Linked DNA regions of Neurospora crassa OR74A. The protein of the gene in region 3 interacts with the protein of the main gene of each other region in a pairwise test. Links are inferred from orthologs where the notes say so. Each region holds a gene or a part of one and is shown on either strand. Other genes may lie near its edges. The genes, in order: NCU01563, stk-30 and prk-10.

Evidence for each region.
Region 1: the proteins of prk-10 (region 3) and NCU01563 interact in a two-hybrid assay, tested with the Saccharomyces cerevisiae proteins (2 studies listed by BioGRID, with this or other methods). The link is inferred for Neurospora crassa OR74A from reciprocal best matches to the Saccharomyces cerevisiae genes SNF1 and SSN8.
Region 2: the proteins of prk-10 (region 3) and stk-30 interact in binary tests that used the Saccharomyces cerevisiae proteins (3 or more experiments, as listed by UniProt). The link is inferred for Neurospora crassa OR74A from reciprocal best matches to the Saccharomyces cerevisiae genes SNF1 and NPR1.

Annotation. Positions count from the first base shown.
Region 1 is NC_026502.1:3,075,237-3,080,341, forward strand, and holds NCU01563 (RNA polymerase II holoenzyme cyclin-like subunit), read left to right. Parts: upstream 1-1,828; 5' UTR 1,829-1,915; intron 1,916-1,975; exon of another isoform or gene 1,976-2,035; 5' UTR 2,036-2,476; coding exon 2,477-2,636; intron 2,637-2,726; coding exon 2,727-3,604; 3' UTR 3,605-3,965; downstream 3,966-5,105. Other genes in the region: NCU01564 (calcium dependent mitochondrial carrier protein), read right to left, coding at 282-570, 666-828; NCU01562 (2,4-dichlorophenoxyacetate alpha-ketoglutarate dioxygenase), read right to left, coding at 3,985-4,896, 5,016-5,105. UniProt on the Saccharomyces cerevisiae protein: Component of the SRB8-11 complex. The SRB8-11 complex is a regulatory module of the Mediator complex which is itself involved in regulation of basal and activated RNA polymerase II-dependent transcription.
Region 2 is NC_026504.1:3,735,410-3,740,698, reverse strand, and holds the start of stk-30 (protein kinase), read right to left. Parts: upstream 3,467-5,289; 5' UTR 2,976-3,466; coding exon 2,921-2,975; intron 2,756-2,920; coding exon 2,490-2,755; intron 2,234-2,489; coding exon 925-2,233; intron 869-924; coding exon 225-868; 3' UTR 1-224. UniProt on the Saccharomyces cerevisiae protein: Nutrient-regulated protein kinase that promotes the activity of at least 6 distinct transport systems for nitrogenous nutrients under conditions of nitrogen catabolite derepression.
Region 3 is NC_026505.1:1,659,559-1,664,738, reverse strand, and holds the start of prk-10 (protein kinase SNF1), read left to right. Parts: upstream 1-1,826; 5' UTR 1,827-2,306; coding exon 2,307-2,722; intron 2,723-2,807; coding exon 2,808-3,643; intron 3,644-3,911; coding exon 3,912-4,553; intron 4,554-4,610; coding exon 4,611-4,885; 3' UTR 4,886-5,180. Other genes in the region: NCU11040 (DUF92 domain-containing protein), read left to right, coding at 1-132, 217-1,179. UniProt on the Saccharomyces cerevisiae protein: Serine/threonine protein kinase essential for release from glucose repression.

The DNA.
Region 1 (5,105 bases), on a different chromosome or scaffold from region 3:
TCGATTTCCCAAGACCTGGCAATGCGCTTTAGGGGCAGACCACACTGCAGCAGCCTTTTTAGCACGCGCGCAAAGTCAAAATGACTTTGACTCGGCCGCTAGCTGGCATTACAGGGTTAGATTGGGCGAGTGGAACTGGTGAAAAGTTGGCGATTCCCGGTCTTCCCCAGCTTTGAGTGGGTCGGTTTGTTTACTTGGGTTGTGGTCCACTTCTTTTTCTTCTCTTCGCTCGTCTCTCGAGTCTCTCGAGTCTCAGCTTTCAAAGAAATTGTGTGACTTACCGCCATTCGTCGAAGCTGATGTAGCCATCGTGGTCCATGTCGACCTCGTCGAAGAAGCCCGACAGCCTCTTGTTGGATACGGTCAAGCCGGCCTTTTGGAAAGCGCTGCGCAGCTCGTTCTTATCGAGCCGGCCATCCTTGTCGCGATCGATGGAACGGAAGAGCAGCCACAGTTGGCGCTCGGCGGTCTCGACGAAGTTGCGGAACTCTTCGTATTGGATCTTGCCGTCGCCGCTGGTGTCCACGACCTTGATGATATCCTTGAGCATGTGGTCGGCATTTTGCATGGCTACAAGAAAGACGGGCGCTTTGGTGTCAGTAGAGATGGCAAGTCGTGAACATGCGCATGACGAATCGCATTGGCGTTGGCAGGCATTGGCTCACGGTGATCGATCCTTCTCAACCCCTTTTGCAGCCCCTTGAAGTCGAGCTCTCCGTGGCGCTGGGGATCCAGCTTCGTCCACAATTCCTCGACGCGCTTGTCCCGCTGGTTCTGCGATTCGTCCATGCCGGCTTGGAGCTCTGCGAGCACATGGGAAACCTTCATTCCCGCTGTCGGGTTCTCATCATCCAACGCGGCATGCGCAGATGGTCGGCGTTGGTGTTCGGATATTTGCGCACGGCGGGGGAGGGGTCGGCGCGGAGAGGGAGCCAGACGACGGGGAGACGGGGAGCGTTCAATGCAAGTTCGGAGCACGACAAGAATGAATGGTCGTCGATACGGTAAAGTTCAGGTAAGGTACGGCGCAGTGCAATGCAAGTGAATGTGCAGTGCAGTGTAAAGGTTAGGTTAGGTTAGAGGTATCTTTCAGTTCTTTCCGTTCCTATGGTATTATGTATGCGGTGCTATGTGCAGTGCTGGCTCGCAGCTGAGGCAAGGTGGTTCAGTAGTGTGGTACACACAAGACCTACCATAGGCTCGGAAGGCAGATAGTCACTGCAAGGTCGGGACCTCGAGTGGTCAGGAATGGCAGAAATGAGACCGCCCGTCTAAACTAGCGGATCTAGAACCGTTTGCTGTAAGCGATTGGGTATGACGTAGGACAGGGGCTAGAGCAATAGGTAGGTAACTTGGATTTGGAAAATAAGATGAAATAGAGATCAAAATACGTTACGAAGCGACTGTTTGTATGAGCGGGACCTTCAAGGGGAAAATTAAAGTTACTTTCATGAAAAGAGATTGAGCCAAGCCACTCACGAATGGGATGGGACGAGTGGGTGGTGTATCGCTGTCCATCTACCCGTCACCCTATCTCCACGGGTATCCATTCTCCTCAAATAGTGCCTTTTGCACATTGCACCTGGCACCCTCCACAATTTTCGACCACGAATCTCGGTCCCTTTTTGAGACTCGAGACTTTGTTGACATGTAGCAAACAATGAAAGGGAAATCGGGGGTGGTGCGGGTGGCCGAAGTGATGAACGTGATATTCACGAAAAAAGCGGATCTGTATCGGAAGTGGTTTCAGTGGCCCCGTCCGGTGTGAGCGTGACACGGATTGTTATCTTGGCTTTTGTGTTGGGTCGGGGTAACACAACCCCAACATCGACAGCATTGAATTGAAGCTCGAGATAACCCAGGTTACCTATCTTGACCCAACCACCCGAAACATATTCAAGTCAGGAGAGTAGAGGTATGTAACTCAGTCGAGTTGTACCTCCAACCGTCCGGCATCCGGCAGCATCTTGACTCCACCCATCTGCAATTCACTTCCTGCAAACAAGCAACAAAGCTCTGATCAGTATCGGAGCAGGGTCATTTCTTTCGCCGTCTCCCTGATTGGCCAGCCCTGCCATAACATGTGGGCCTCCTAGGCCCTTCTAAAGTTTAAACCTCGGGTCGAGCAACCTACCTAGGGTCGGGTATTTTATCGCCAGCCTTATCAGCTTATCTTGGGCCCCGGGGTGTCCATCCGATCGCAAGCCATCACGTAATGTTTCTTTCCCGTTCAACATCAACCAACATCAAGTCGGAGCAGTGAGCTGAAGGCTTTCCGAGGTCTTGGATAGCGGCGCGTCGCAACAGGGTTTGAGACCTCCTCCATTACATAGGATTCCAACTCCACCGATCGTCAAAACGCGCGACCCAGAACATCTCCTACAGGCCAAGCGGACGACCATGTCTGCAGCGCCTTGGGAAGGACACAGCTAGACACCCGACAGCAGTTCGAGGCACCGAGACACACACGGTTACCATGGCGGCCAACTACTGGGAATCTACTCAGCGCAAACACTGGCTGTTTACCAAAGATGAGCTTGCCGCTATGCGCGCAAAGCTAGAGGCTGAAGAACCCAACCTGGTGGCCTCGTTTCCTCTCCCGCAACTGCGCCATCTGAACATCTACTTCAACCAACGTTCGTCGTATCTCTCCACGTCCCCTACCCCGTCCACCCGTCCGTCTGTTCGATGAAGAGAGTCGCCAACATACTTCTGTTTTACTCTAGAAATCAACCGTCTCGGTAAGCGCATGGGGCTACGACAGCAAGCCTTGGCCACCGCCCAAGTCTACATCAAGCGCTTCTACACCAAAGTCGAGATCCGGCGCACCAATCCACACCACGTTCTCGTGACCGCCCTATATCTGGCCTGCAAGATGGAGGAATGTCCCCAGCATATTCGGCTTATGGCCAACGAGGCCCGCGGCTTTTGGCCTACAGACTTCCAATCCCAGACAGAAGTGGCAAGGATAGGAGAATGCGAGTTCTACCTTATCTCAGAAATGAGCTCACATCTCATTGTCCATTCACCCTACCGTACCCTTACCAGCTTACAAGGGGAGCTTGGGCTGGCACAAGAGGACGTCAACCTTGCCTGGTCCGTCATCAACGACCATTACATGACCGATCTGCCGCTGCTCCACCCACCACATGTGATAGCCTTGACAGCCATTCTCTTGGCTCTGGTGTTGCGTCAGGATCCCAGCGGTCGTCTCCCTGGAACAGCCGCGTCGGCTTCGGGACTGGTAGCCGCTTCGGCAGCGTTGGCTCAGGCACAGGCGCAAGCACAGGCACGCGCTGCCATGATGGCGGGGGGTGGCCAGACTGTGCCAGGTCTCACCCCCCAGTCTTCTTCTGGCTTGCAGGCCATGCTTCCACCCCAGTCACCAGCCGGAGAAGGTCCTGCCGAAGGGAACAAAAACCCACGTATGGCAAAGGTTCACCGATTTGCTGCATGGCTGTCTGACAGTAATATTGATATTGAGGCCATGGTGGACTGCACGCAGGAGTTGATCTCCTTCTATGAATGCCATGAGCAGTACAATGACAAGAACACTCGGGAGCAGATCAATAGGTTTGTCAAAGCTCGCGGGCTGGACAAGTAAAGTATTGGTTCTGAGATCATGGATCGAATATCTCTTATTTGATGAATGCCTGGTGAGTGGTTAGACAACGGCCATGCGACCAAACGGAAAACGCTTCTTATTATCAGACTTGGACTAGTATGGCCCCTAATCCCGTGTTGTATTTTTTTTCTTCTGTGGGGGCACTGTCAATTATTGGATCATGGGCTCTCAAGCTGATAGGCATACGCATCAGTTCAAGGGCAATAGTGACATTTTAATCATAAGCATACAAGTAATGTCGATCGAAGCTTTACGTTCAAACAAGCGGACGAACTAGTGTAATGGCCCAAAGAAGGATGTCCCTCACCATAGAAATGACTAAACAGACTCTTACCTCGCCCTGGCTTTTCCATCAAAAATCACCTCTCAACCGCAGCCGATTGCGTCAACGGCAGCCCCTTCTCCTTCGTTATGCTCTCCAATGTAGGCAAAGGCGCCCCCTCGCCATTAAGCCCCCAAGCCGTCGGGCCCTGGTCGAACGCCGTCGTCCTCCTCATATCTCTCCTATGCTTACCTACACCCTTAAACTCACCCGCGCGATGCAATACAGCTCTATTATCCCAAATCACCAAATCACCCGGCCGCTCCCACCTCACACTCGCCACAAAGCTCTTGTTAGCCACATGCTCATTCAAAAACTTGATTATCCCCTCCGACCCCGGCACCGTCTTCCCCTCCCCATCCTCCAACCGCCACAAATAAGCACCCACACATAAATTCATCCTCCCACTCTCCACATGCTCTTGCACAACCTTGTGTCTCGCTATAGGACCCTCCTCCGGGTTCACGTCTTTAAAGTACTCAGGCGCCCCCAGCTTCCGACTATGAGCAGCATTATACACCCCCGTCCAATCTTTTGTCAGCAACTCCCTCTTTTTCTCGGCAGCCAACTCCTCCCACGCAGTCCTACTATCCGCAAACTCCGTGTTTCCTTCTATTTCCCCCATTTCCCCAGGCTCCCGAGAAGGCAGTTCCACGGCTCTTAGCAACGAATAACTCGACCGCCGCGGGTTATATGCTAGGTCCGAGTGCCATGACGAGTTGGCGCGGAGTAGCATGGCTCGTGGAGATGAAGAAGGGTCTAGGATCGCGCGGCCGTCGTCGGACAGGTTGCTGGCGTCGAAGAGCTCGAGGTGGGGGTAGTAGCGGGGGACGCGGCCGGGTGGGAGGAAGCGGGAGATGTCGTCGAGTGGACCAGAGGCGAAGAGGCGGGAGAAGGAGACGTGCGTGCTGTCGGTTAGGGGCGTGGCGCGGAGGATGATGAAGCCGTACTAAAGTTGGGGGTAGTATCAGAAATTAGGGCTTTGTGGGGTTTTCCCAAGCAGAGAAGGGAGGGTAAGGGGGAAATGGGAAAGCGGAAATGGGGGTAGAGTGTACTAGCCTTGTGCACGGTATCTCTGAGCTCTTGAAGTTGTTCATCGCTGATGACGCCGTTGTCTCCCCACTGGATACCGAGGACCTCTGCTCCGAATGTTGGGTG
Region 2 (5,289 bases), on a different chromosome or scaffold from region 3:
CTGCCTCGCAAGGAAACAGACACCGACTGAGAGGAAAATGGTAACAATACCCATATACTGCACTAAAAACGTATGTTCGGTCTTTTCAATACTAAACCCAAGTTATCCCCCACAAGTCCCATCAGATAACCCTTCTTGTTCCTAACCCAAATGTTGGTGGCATCCTGTGCCCCCAAGAAGCCGTCCTGTATTTGAGGATGTCTACTGGCGCGAAGGCTCCACTTCTAGCGTTTGGCCTTTTCATCTTTGGTGCCTGCAGGTGCTGATGGGGGTTCGAGAGTATGTACGTGATCGTCCGCATGTGCCACGTTGCCGGGGCCGATCTGCCGGCAGATGACGGTGTTCGCCACCCATGGATCGTCAAGAATTTCCGTCATCTTGGCTCGTGTCTTGGGATCCAGATCGAGCATCCTGCCGATGACGTGTCTGCTTTCCCTCGGGAGAAGCCTGAGGATTCTCCAAGGACCACGGATAACCTCCTTCTTCTCTCCAGTGCTGCCAGCTTCTCCTTGTACGCTGGTTGTCGGCTTGTGATCGGAAGTCGTCTTCTTGTCATCCTGAACCTTGTCGATCTTGTCGCTGCTAGCCCTGACGCTCTGAGGGTCGTAGTCTCTGTATGGAACATCGCTAAGCGCCGACGTGGAGGCTGAAGGTGGAAGCAACAGTTTCTTTGGGTCATGTCCGAACGAAGGTTCTGCAGCGAATAGCTTGAACGAGTTGTCGGTCAATCGAGGAACCTTCCACGGGAATCGCCGGAGTGTCATGCAGCAGTAGATGATGGCCAAGGACCAGATATCAACGGCTTCGGGATCGTACTTCTTTTCGTCGTACACTTCGGGGGCAAGATATGGGTCGGATCCAACAATGCCTTTGATCGGTTAGCAACCCTTCAACCAGCATCTTCTCAGCCAAGTGTTTACATACCTGAGGCATGTACAATACCAGTCTCAAACGGATACCGGAAAACATGAGCACTACCAAAATCGATAATCTTCATAATCCCATGCTCGCTAACCACAACGTTGTCAAGCTTCAGATCCCGATGCGCGAGGCCCATGCTGTGAAGGTATGTTACGCCACTCAAGATCTGAAGGAAGCAGCAGCTGACCTCTTCTCGAGACATCTTTCCTGTCATGACAATGGCGAACAGGTCATACGGAGCGTACTCCATCACCTCATACCACTTGCCCTTCTCCTGGACAATGTCTAGGGTTTCAATGATGTTGCCATGGTGCAAAGAAGATCCCATGCAATACTCGGCCGTAAGCTTCTTGACATATTCGCGCTCGGTTTCGTACGAGTGGCGAGGGCGGAACTCCTTAACGGCAAAGACCACACCGTCTTCGCTGCGCTTCATGAGTCTCACCGAACCTCCCGCTCCGGCACCCAACACCTTGCCAAGCTTCCCGTATTTAGAAGAGAGACCGTGATCGTCACCGAACGGAATCTGGGCGGACTTGCCTCCCGGTGTCTTGGGCGTAGACTTTACAGAAGCAGCGGGAGATGCCGGTCTCTTGTTCTTGTGGGGTCCCAGCTTGAAGAACCTCTTCAGGTCCGCCATTGAGCTATTTCTGCTGGGGATTGTGGCCTCGTCGTCGTTGTCATGGCGATCCTTCTTGGAGCGTTTGTCGCTTTTGGATACCAGACTCAAAGAGGACGAGTTCTTTTTCCTGGAGAAGATGAAGCGAGGCTCAATGCCTTTTTGTGCAGGTCGTTTGCTTGCCGAGTACGGATCGTTGGCATCGCCGGGAGGTGGTAGTTGGCGGGTGTAGAACTGTGACGCGGCCAACGCTCGGGAGGGACTGGATTCACGAGACGCAGGCTGAGATCTACTGGGGGAACTGCTGCCGCCGGATCCAACGGAAAACAACCCTCTGCGATGTTCACCAATAGTGATCTGGGGACGATCTCGGCCATCTATCGAAGTCGGCCTGGAAGAGCTCCGCAGCTGTTCGTCGGGTGTAGGCAGCTGGACATTGCGGAGAGAGGTAGGTGATGTCGGTTCGTGGGAAGAATCTTGAGGAGTGATGAGGTTGGCACTCCGCCTTTCTTGCGCCAGAGCGCTCTCGCGGCGAAGTTCTCGGTCGACGTTGTCGGTTCCAGCCGGCGTGAGAGGAGGTGTATGCATTTCGTGGCCCCTGACGTGCGGAGTAAGAAGCGGTGAGTTGCGACCTGCCGAGCTCCGTGTATGTTCGCGACTGGGAGCTCTTGAATCATCTTCGTGGGAAGGTGTCTGGAGATAGCAAAGTATTAGTCCTCGCCCAAGGGGTAAAGACGCAGACGCGAAGAATGGTGACTATGCATGCATGGATATATGGTGTGCAATCAGACAAGAGACATGGAAAAAGCCAGCAAAAGCCACCGAGCTGATCTTGGTTGCACAAGCCCCCCCCGGAAGCGACGGACCAAGGCAAAAGCAAAACTTGGGAGATGAACAAAGGAAGGAAGCAAGAAGCGTAGCCCCTCACGTGAAATTAGGATGGGCTTACCCTTGAAGCGGGAAGCGAGAATGCCTCGTACTGGAAAAGGCTTATCCTTCGCTCCTGCAGCGGACAGGCCTTCAACCTCTCGGCGATATCACGAAGCTGCTCGGGGGTGACCTCACCCGGTTCGCCGAGGGTGACGTCTGGTGCAATGGTTGGTGTCGATGTGGTGCCCTCTGGCGTGATCTCTTCGACAGTTGACTTGAAGCGGACAGCAGGCTCGGTTTTGGATGGTTCAGCGGGAGTGACTTTGACCGATTGCGGCTCGACAGCTGTTGGAGTAGACTACAAGTCAGCGAATTGCTTCAATCCAATGCTTGCTCGTTCTAGTCCCCGAGGATTGGCGTAGTAGGGATCAGAGATGAGGGGTTGCCGTTGATTTTTTATTCGTGTTTTTTTCTTTTCCAATTCTTCGTCGTTGTTTCCTTTCTCCTTACCTTGGAACTGTTCGTCCGGTTGACGCTGCTCTGACTCTTTCTCAGCGGTCGCCATCTTTTTTTTTTTTAGGTGTTTTGTTGTTTTTGTTGGGTGACTTTGATTTCTTGGTTCGAATTTGCGCCCGTCTCCGCAAACTAATAAAACTTGTAAAATCCTGGCAGGAATCCGAATAACGTCTGGTGTCTGGCCCGCCCTGGAAAACAGAGATAAAAAAGATGGGATAAAAGACCGTGTGATGCAAGATGCAAGGGCCAGACAGGTGACAGAGCGACAGAAGATGCAAGACAAGACCAGACCGGCAAGCAGACGCAGCGGCGGAATGGGCGGAAACTATGTCAAGTGGAAGCAAGGGAAAGGCAAATGGGACGGCGGCGAAAGAAGAGTCGGGGCCAAATAGATGACGGCGATCTCAACTGTCATGGAACTGCAAAGCCTGTAGACAAGGCTTGGACTGGTCACTACTAGTACACTATGTAGGAGGTGAATAATGGGGTTTCCACTTTCCACCGTGACTTCTGATTTGACTTTGCCTGGCCTTGACGATTCCTTGTCGATGCTGTGTGCCTAGGCTTCAGTTCTTGTTCACTTGGGACAGAAGCGGCCCGGGTTCGGCGAAGAAATGGAAGTGTGAAAGATGGCGCTCTGTTGCGTCGTGGTGGGGCCGAGCTATGTACATGACAGGTACTTACAGGAAACGTTGGCTGCAGGCGGCGGGAAACACGGGTACCCTTGATGGACCACCAGCCAGTGCACCCGCCTGGGAGGAGAGGACCTGAGTTGAATCTGAGAGCGGGCACGCCGGCACTGAGATCGGGCCAAGCCGGCTTTCCTAGAATGATTGAATTTCAGACGGATCCGCAGTCACAGACTCCCGTCCTCACAAGGTGAACGGTCTCGAAGCCAAACAGTTTGAACGTGGCGGCGGGCACCCTGTCTGGGCGTCAGTGTTCCCAAAACCGCAATAGGAGTCCCGTCTTGGATCTTGGTCTTTGTCATACACTACACAAGTACACATTGGAACCGGGAGCGGTCGGCAACCTGGGGTCAGGTCCCTGATCCTGTCCATCGATGTCCTCTTCCATCTTGTCCGACTTCCTTTTCCAGCTTTGAAAGATGCCGAGCGATTGCAGCGCCTCCCCCTCTAAAACGCCAATGACCAGCTGCATTGACGCAGTCGTAATTCCTGCCAGGACATCCATTCCATCACATCTCTGTTTCCGCCGCCCCGTGTTGTTCCTCAAACACTGGGCAGTTCACCCAATGACTCGAGTGAACACCTCAGCCGGTTGTGCCTTGCGTCCTTGGCTGTCATCCTCGTTGCCCTGCGTTTCAACTGAACAACAGAGAGTCAAGTATGAATCCCGCAGCAGCCCCGACCACCGTCAAAGCGGCCTTTTAGAGCGCCGCCGTGTCCGAAAGACCGAGGCACCGCAAAGGCATGGATGACAAGTCTAGGTGGTGTTGGTGGTCAGCTTTGTCTCCAGTGACTGTCCTGATGTCACCCAACCTTTTTTTTCGATGGACTGCCAACGGATATGGTAAACAGCTTTCTATGTCGATCTCTACCGCCGAAAACCAGGTCCTTATCGCTCGGTTCGGTGTAACCCATGTCGATACCCCGCCATGCTGCGGGAGGTAATTGCCCGAATGGTTCTAGAAGCCATTGAATGTAATTGCAATCGTTGCACACGTGTAGGATATTAAACAATCATCCATTTCATCTCGTTAGTATTGAAAGCATGAGATGAACACCATGGCGACATGATACCGGGGCTTCGCCTGAGTGGTAAGAAGTGGGCTGGTGGATAAGCACTTGGGCGAAGCGGATGTTTGTTTACAAAACCCCTTTTTATATATGTGTGTGATTTGTCTTGCAGTCAGCTTAGCCAAAAGCATTATAAACACATCTCACCTACATTCAGGTAAGCATAATACCCGTTGGGCGGTCTACCTTGGTGACCGCCAACCTTAAAACTTAATCCTACAGAGACAGATCCTCGTCATACGCCTGCGTGTTCCACAAACACAAGCTATGTGAGCCAAGGTTGACGAAGCTGGAGTACGTTGAGGCAATGCAAACGCAAACCGGCAAATGCCCATATATGCCATGCCTGCCATCAGCACCCTTTTGTGGAAGCCTTTCCCAAACGATCATACTCCGTGGACCAACCAACAGCTCCAGGCACCGCTGTGCATTTTGAGATTTTGCCATACAATAATGATACAAGCAAAGATACACAGAGCCACAAGCTATGGCTATAGTCCGCATCCAATATTGGTAACAATGCCGTGGTCTATCCACCTAAAAGAAACAACCGTAACGCCTTCGTGCCCCCAAGCCCGTATAATGTCTTTCAGCGTATAGCCT
Region 3 (5,180 bases):
TCCAAGAAGTCGTTGACACCCGGCGGCATCTTTGCTGCTCTCCTTACGGCCATCGCACACGCAGTTCACCCTTGGAATCTTCCCTTTGCTCTGCTCGTCGTGTTCTTCCTGGCGGGAACGCGGGTAACGCATGTAAGTCTGATGAAGCTCTACCCAGGGGCGGCACAAGTTAGGCGTGGACTTTGACAGCTAATATCGACATCTTTCCCCGGCTAGGTAAAGGAAAACGTCAAGGCCAAGCTCACAGTACACTCCAAGGGCACGTCCGGCGGCGAGGGCCCGAGAAATCACACCCAAGTGTTCGCCAACTCGCTCACGGCTTCCATCTTCTCTCTGCTCCACGCTTATCAGCTGCATGTGCGCAAGCAGACGCTGATCGCTAATCCCACCAGCACAGGGACCGGTAGCCTTTGCTTCTCCTGGGGCGGCGACTTGTTGGTGATTGGTATCATTGCCAATTATGCCTGTGTTGCGGCCGACACCTTTAGCTCCGAGCTGGGCATTCTGTCCAAGGGCGAGCCGCGCCTAATCACAAGCTGGAACTTGCGCAAGGTACCGCGTGGCACCAACGGCGGCGTTTCCCTCGTCGGTCTTGGCGCTGGCCTGTTGGGCAGCATGATCATCGTTACGGCGTCCATGCTTCTTCTGCCTCTTTGCACTGACGAGACGGCTACGAGACTTGGCGGTGCCGCGGGCTGGTCACTGGGACAGCGCCGCATGCTGATTCTCGGTCTCACGGTCTGGGGTTTTTTGGGCAGCGTTGTGGACAGCATTTTGGGCGGGCTCTTCCAGGCCAGTGTCAAGGATGTGCGTACGGGCAAGATTGTGGAGGGCGAGGGTGGCGTGAGGGTACTGGTTACCAACGCTACGAACCCCAACAACGTTGCCGGTCGGACTAAGGCTGAGATTAAGTCGTCTCTTCTGTCTGGCGAGGGGACGGATGCGGTGGAGGATGTCGGCGCCGCTGCCGGTAACAAGTACGATTCGCGCAACAAGCAGCGGAGGTCGAGCTTTGGAGACGAGAGGCCGTCGCGAGTGGTGGAGAACGGCTGGGACCTGCTTGATAACAATGATGTCAACTTCTTGATGGCATTCGGCATGAGCGTGGGAGCGATGGCCGTCGCATCATGGTATTGGGGAGTTCCTCTGCAGTCTGTGTTGTCGCCATGGTGGGCATAAGGCAGTCGCAGGTGGGTGGTGAATGACTTTCGCTAGAGATGTTGGCTAGCTAAACAATTCCATGGATGACATATGAGAGCTCAGTCGTCATTTTGATTACACATTCAGATCACGGCTTTGGGTGAAGCTTGGGCAGGTACCTTGCTCGCTATCCGGATGATGCTAACCAAAAGCCGGCGCGATTGACCATTGAGGTTCTCATTGTACCAAACATCCACAATTCAAGACCAGCGATCCGTACATGGGATCGAAGACCAGCCTGGCTTACAATTGAATCCTTTGGTATTCTATACACGAGAACGTTGTATACCTAGTCTTTGTAATTTCGACTTGCTACCATTTTGGGCCATAATGTGTGGTAGACACGTATAGGCGTACACAGGGCTTTTATCGGCCTTGTGACAATGGTCCTGTGACCGAGCCGGATGACCTCCCCTCGGCCAGCCAGGCGGTAGTAACGAAACATGAAGTAGGTACAGTAGCTGATGAATGATGGAACTTTCCGTCCGGCTCGGCAGCCCCGTTGTACCTAAGTTAAGGTGGCCGCTTTCCGGAGCGCTCTGACCCCGCGATGCTGCCGTTTGTCGTCCCTGCATCCTTCCAACTCCTCCACTAATTCCCCCATTCTTCACCCCAGATCCCCGCCCGACTCCTTCCACCCCGTTTTCCATTACACCATCTCTGGATTGTTGCCCCGCTGCAGTGTTCGCTTGTCCACTTCCTCCTATGGAACCTAACAGCTCCAACACCCACTTGATTGCCCGCTGCGCTGCCCGTCCACCGCGATTGCTGATTCTTGTCGGCTGACAACCGAACACCGACCGAATGCGCATCCGATACATGATGTTCTCCTGAACAAAGCAAGGCGGTACCTTACATCGACCGACGACGCTACAACACAGACAGCCCACCGAGCCTTGACTTGACGTCCCTAGCTTCATTAGCTCCAACCTCTTGGGTCTGTTCGCTCCCGCTCCCAGGATTCAATCGAGGGACCATCGCGGTTCCTCCATTGCCCATTCACCCTCTTCACCAGCCAGTCGGACGACATCTGGTCAGACGAAACGAACGACCTTCCATCCGCGATTCAGTGTCGTCCACTTGTGTTGCAAGCGACTCCGTCTGCCATGGCACAGGCCTACGATGACGAGGAGCTTTCCATCTCCTTGTCTCCTTCTCAGATCCGAAGTCGCAATAAGCGATCCGGCGATGGCGCATCAGGCTTCGGCCCCAGTACCGGCAACCTCCACGAATACGGTCAACACGGTCAGCAATTACACCCTAATATCAACGCCGTCATGGCCGACGCACCCCTCCGCGACAAGATGCGCACCGAGCAGCGCATCGGTGCCTATAACATTGTCAAGACGCTCGGCGAAGGCAGCTTCGGAAAGGTCAAGCTGGCTGTCCATCGCATGACCGGCCAGCAGGTCGCTCTCAAGATCATCGCCCGCAAGAAGCTCATCAGCCGCGACATGCAAGGTCGCGTAGAGCGCGAGATTGAGTATCTTCAATTGCTAAGGCATCCCCATATCATCAAGCTGTAAGGCACCCCTCGACGCCCATGCGCAGCAGACGTTGGCTCTGGTCCTTTACGTACACGTTGGCTAACCCGGCGCGCATACCAGGTACACCGTTATCAAAACACCAACCGAGATCATCATGGTGCTAGAGTATGCCGGCGGCGAATTGTTCGATTACATTGTTCAACATGGAAAGATGAAGGAGGACGAAGCCCGCCGCTTCTTTCAGCAGATGCTATGCGCCGTCGAATACTGTCATCGTCACAAGATCGTTCATCGCGACCTAAAGCCCGAAAACCTCTTGCTGGACGATAATCTCAATGTCAAAATTGCCGATTTTGGTCTTAGCAATATCATGACCGACGGTAATTTCCTCAAGACCAGCTGCGGCTCTCCCAATTACGCGGCTCCCGAGGTCATTGGCGGCAAGCTTTACGCAGGACCCGAAGTCGATGTCTGGAGTTGCGGTGTCATTCTTTACGTCCTACTCGTCGGGCGCCTCCCTTTCGACGACGAGCATATCCCCAGTCTTTTTGCCAAAATTGCGCGTGGAAGCTACATGGTGCCGACCTGGATGAGTCCCGGCGCGGCGTCACTAATCAAGAAGATGTTGGTTGTCAACCCTGTTCAACGTGCCACAATTGACGAAATCCGCCAGGACCCGTGGTTCCTCAAGGATCTGCCGGCTTACCTTCACCCTCCTGTTGAGGAGTTCCTCAATACTGGCGTGGACCCCAACAAGGCCATCAAGGTTAGCGACATTGCGCCAAATGCCCCTCCGCAGGAACAGGAGAAGTTGCATAATGAGGTCACGGAGAAGATCAGTAAAACCATGGGCTACGGCAAGAGAGATGTCGAAGAGGCCTTGGAGGCCGATGAACCCTCGGCCATCAAAGATGCCTACATGATCGTGCGTGAGAACAAGCTGATGCAGAGTAACCGTGAGTCTACGCTCCCTCCCAGCAAGTCTTTTGTCTTCTCATCATTGGAACCTATCGATCCCTTTGCGATGCTATACTCGTCCGTTTTGTCCTTCTTTCGCAGTTGATTTTGCCACGTCCCATCCTCCTTCGGCGTCCATTTTACACTTGCCTAGTGGTGAACATCGCTTGACGCAAAAAAAAAGCAAATCCTTGAGTTTGCGACCATCGTCCTTTTGGAGCAACACCAATGAGGAATACCAGGATACCCTACTAAAAACCGATGAAGAAATTCCAGGCCTCACGACAGAGGAGTCTGTCCCGAGTCCGCTCCATGACCCGAATATGTCATCAGCTCGCTCGATCGCATCCGTTAGCACAGCAACTTCACCGCGGCCATATGTCAGCAAGATCGGTATTTTGCCTAGCAGTCTTCCTACCTACCACAGGGTCTTTATGGAGCGAGAGAAGGCCAAGGCCGAAGGTCTTGAGCCCCCTGATGCCATCCCCACCATCGTTGAGCCGGCAAATCAGCCGCGCAGCCAAGCTGAACAAGAAGAGACTATCCGAAGACTCAAGCCACATTCGAGGAGTCAACTTCGCCTTGACGAGGCCAACAAGCGCCCACAAGGACTTACCCCCGTCCACCCGCCCAAGAAGAACAAGCCTGCTCGATGGCAATTTGGTATTCGATCCCGGAACGCTCCTTGGGAGGCGCTGGTGTGTATTTACAAGGCGCTAAACAAGCTTGGCGCTGGGTGGATTGTCGATGAAGACTACGAAAGAGCCCACCGGGACGATGACGACACTGATGACTATGATGGGCCTAGTATCGGGTCCCGCAAGAAGTCATCATCCAGCATGGATCCCACCAAGACATATAGACTTCCTGCGGACCCCTGGCATATCAAGATTCGGTGGACAACTGATAGTGAGTTTCCGGTCTGTCCGGCCCAAATGGCAAAGTTTGGCTAACATTGGCTGTCAGAGCTCAAAAAGCATTCGGTTGCCTCCGGCCTCAGCGAAGCAGGAGAGAACACGCATGTTAGCCGGGATGGCAGCGACAGCAAATACCAGGTTGTGGCCATGCGTATGGAGATTCAGATATACGAAATGGAGCACGGCGTCTATCTTGTCGATTTCAAGGTAGACGGGTACGAGACCCCCGATGGAAAGCTTCTAGAGGATAAGGAAGTCACGAGCCCCTTCCCCTTCCTTGATATGGCGGCCAAACTCATCATGCAGTTGGCAGACGCAGATTGAGGTGCCCCGACAATCAATTAATGGCTTGCGGTCGCTACGTTCATGCCTTTGGTTTTGTTTCACAGATTCCGTGCCTTCAGTTCTGGCTAATGCGTTGCTGATACCTTTGTACCCTTTGCATATACTTACCGCAGCCTACACTGTTGGACACCATCAACGAACATGACTAATGCTCCTTGACTTGCTGAACAGGAGGAAATATTCGCAGTACGGGTTGGGAAGATTATTTTACATGGAAGCAATTCGACAAACAAGATACGCCTACGTTTAGAGAGTATGGGGGCGGGCGTCACCT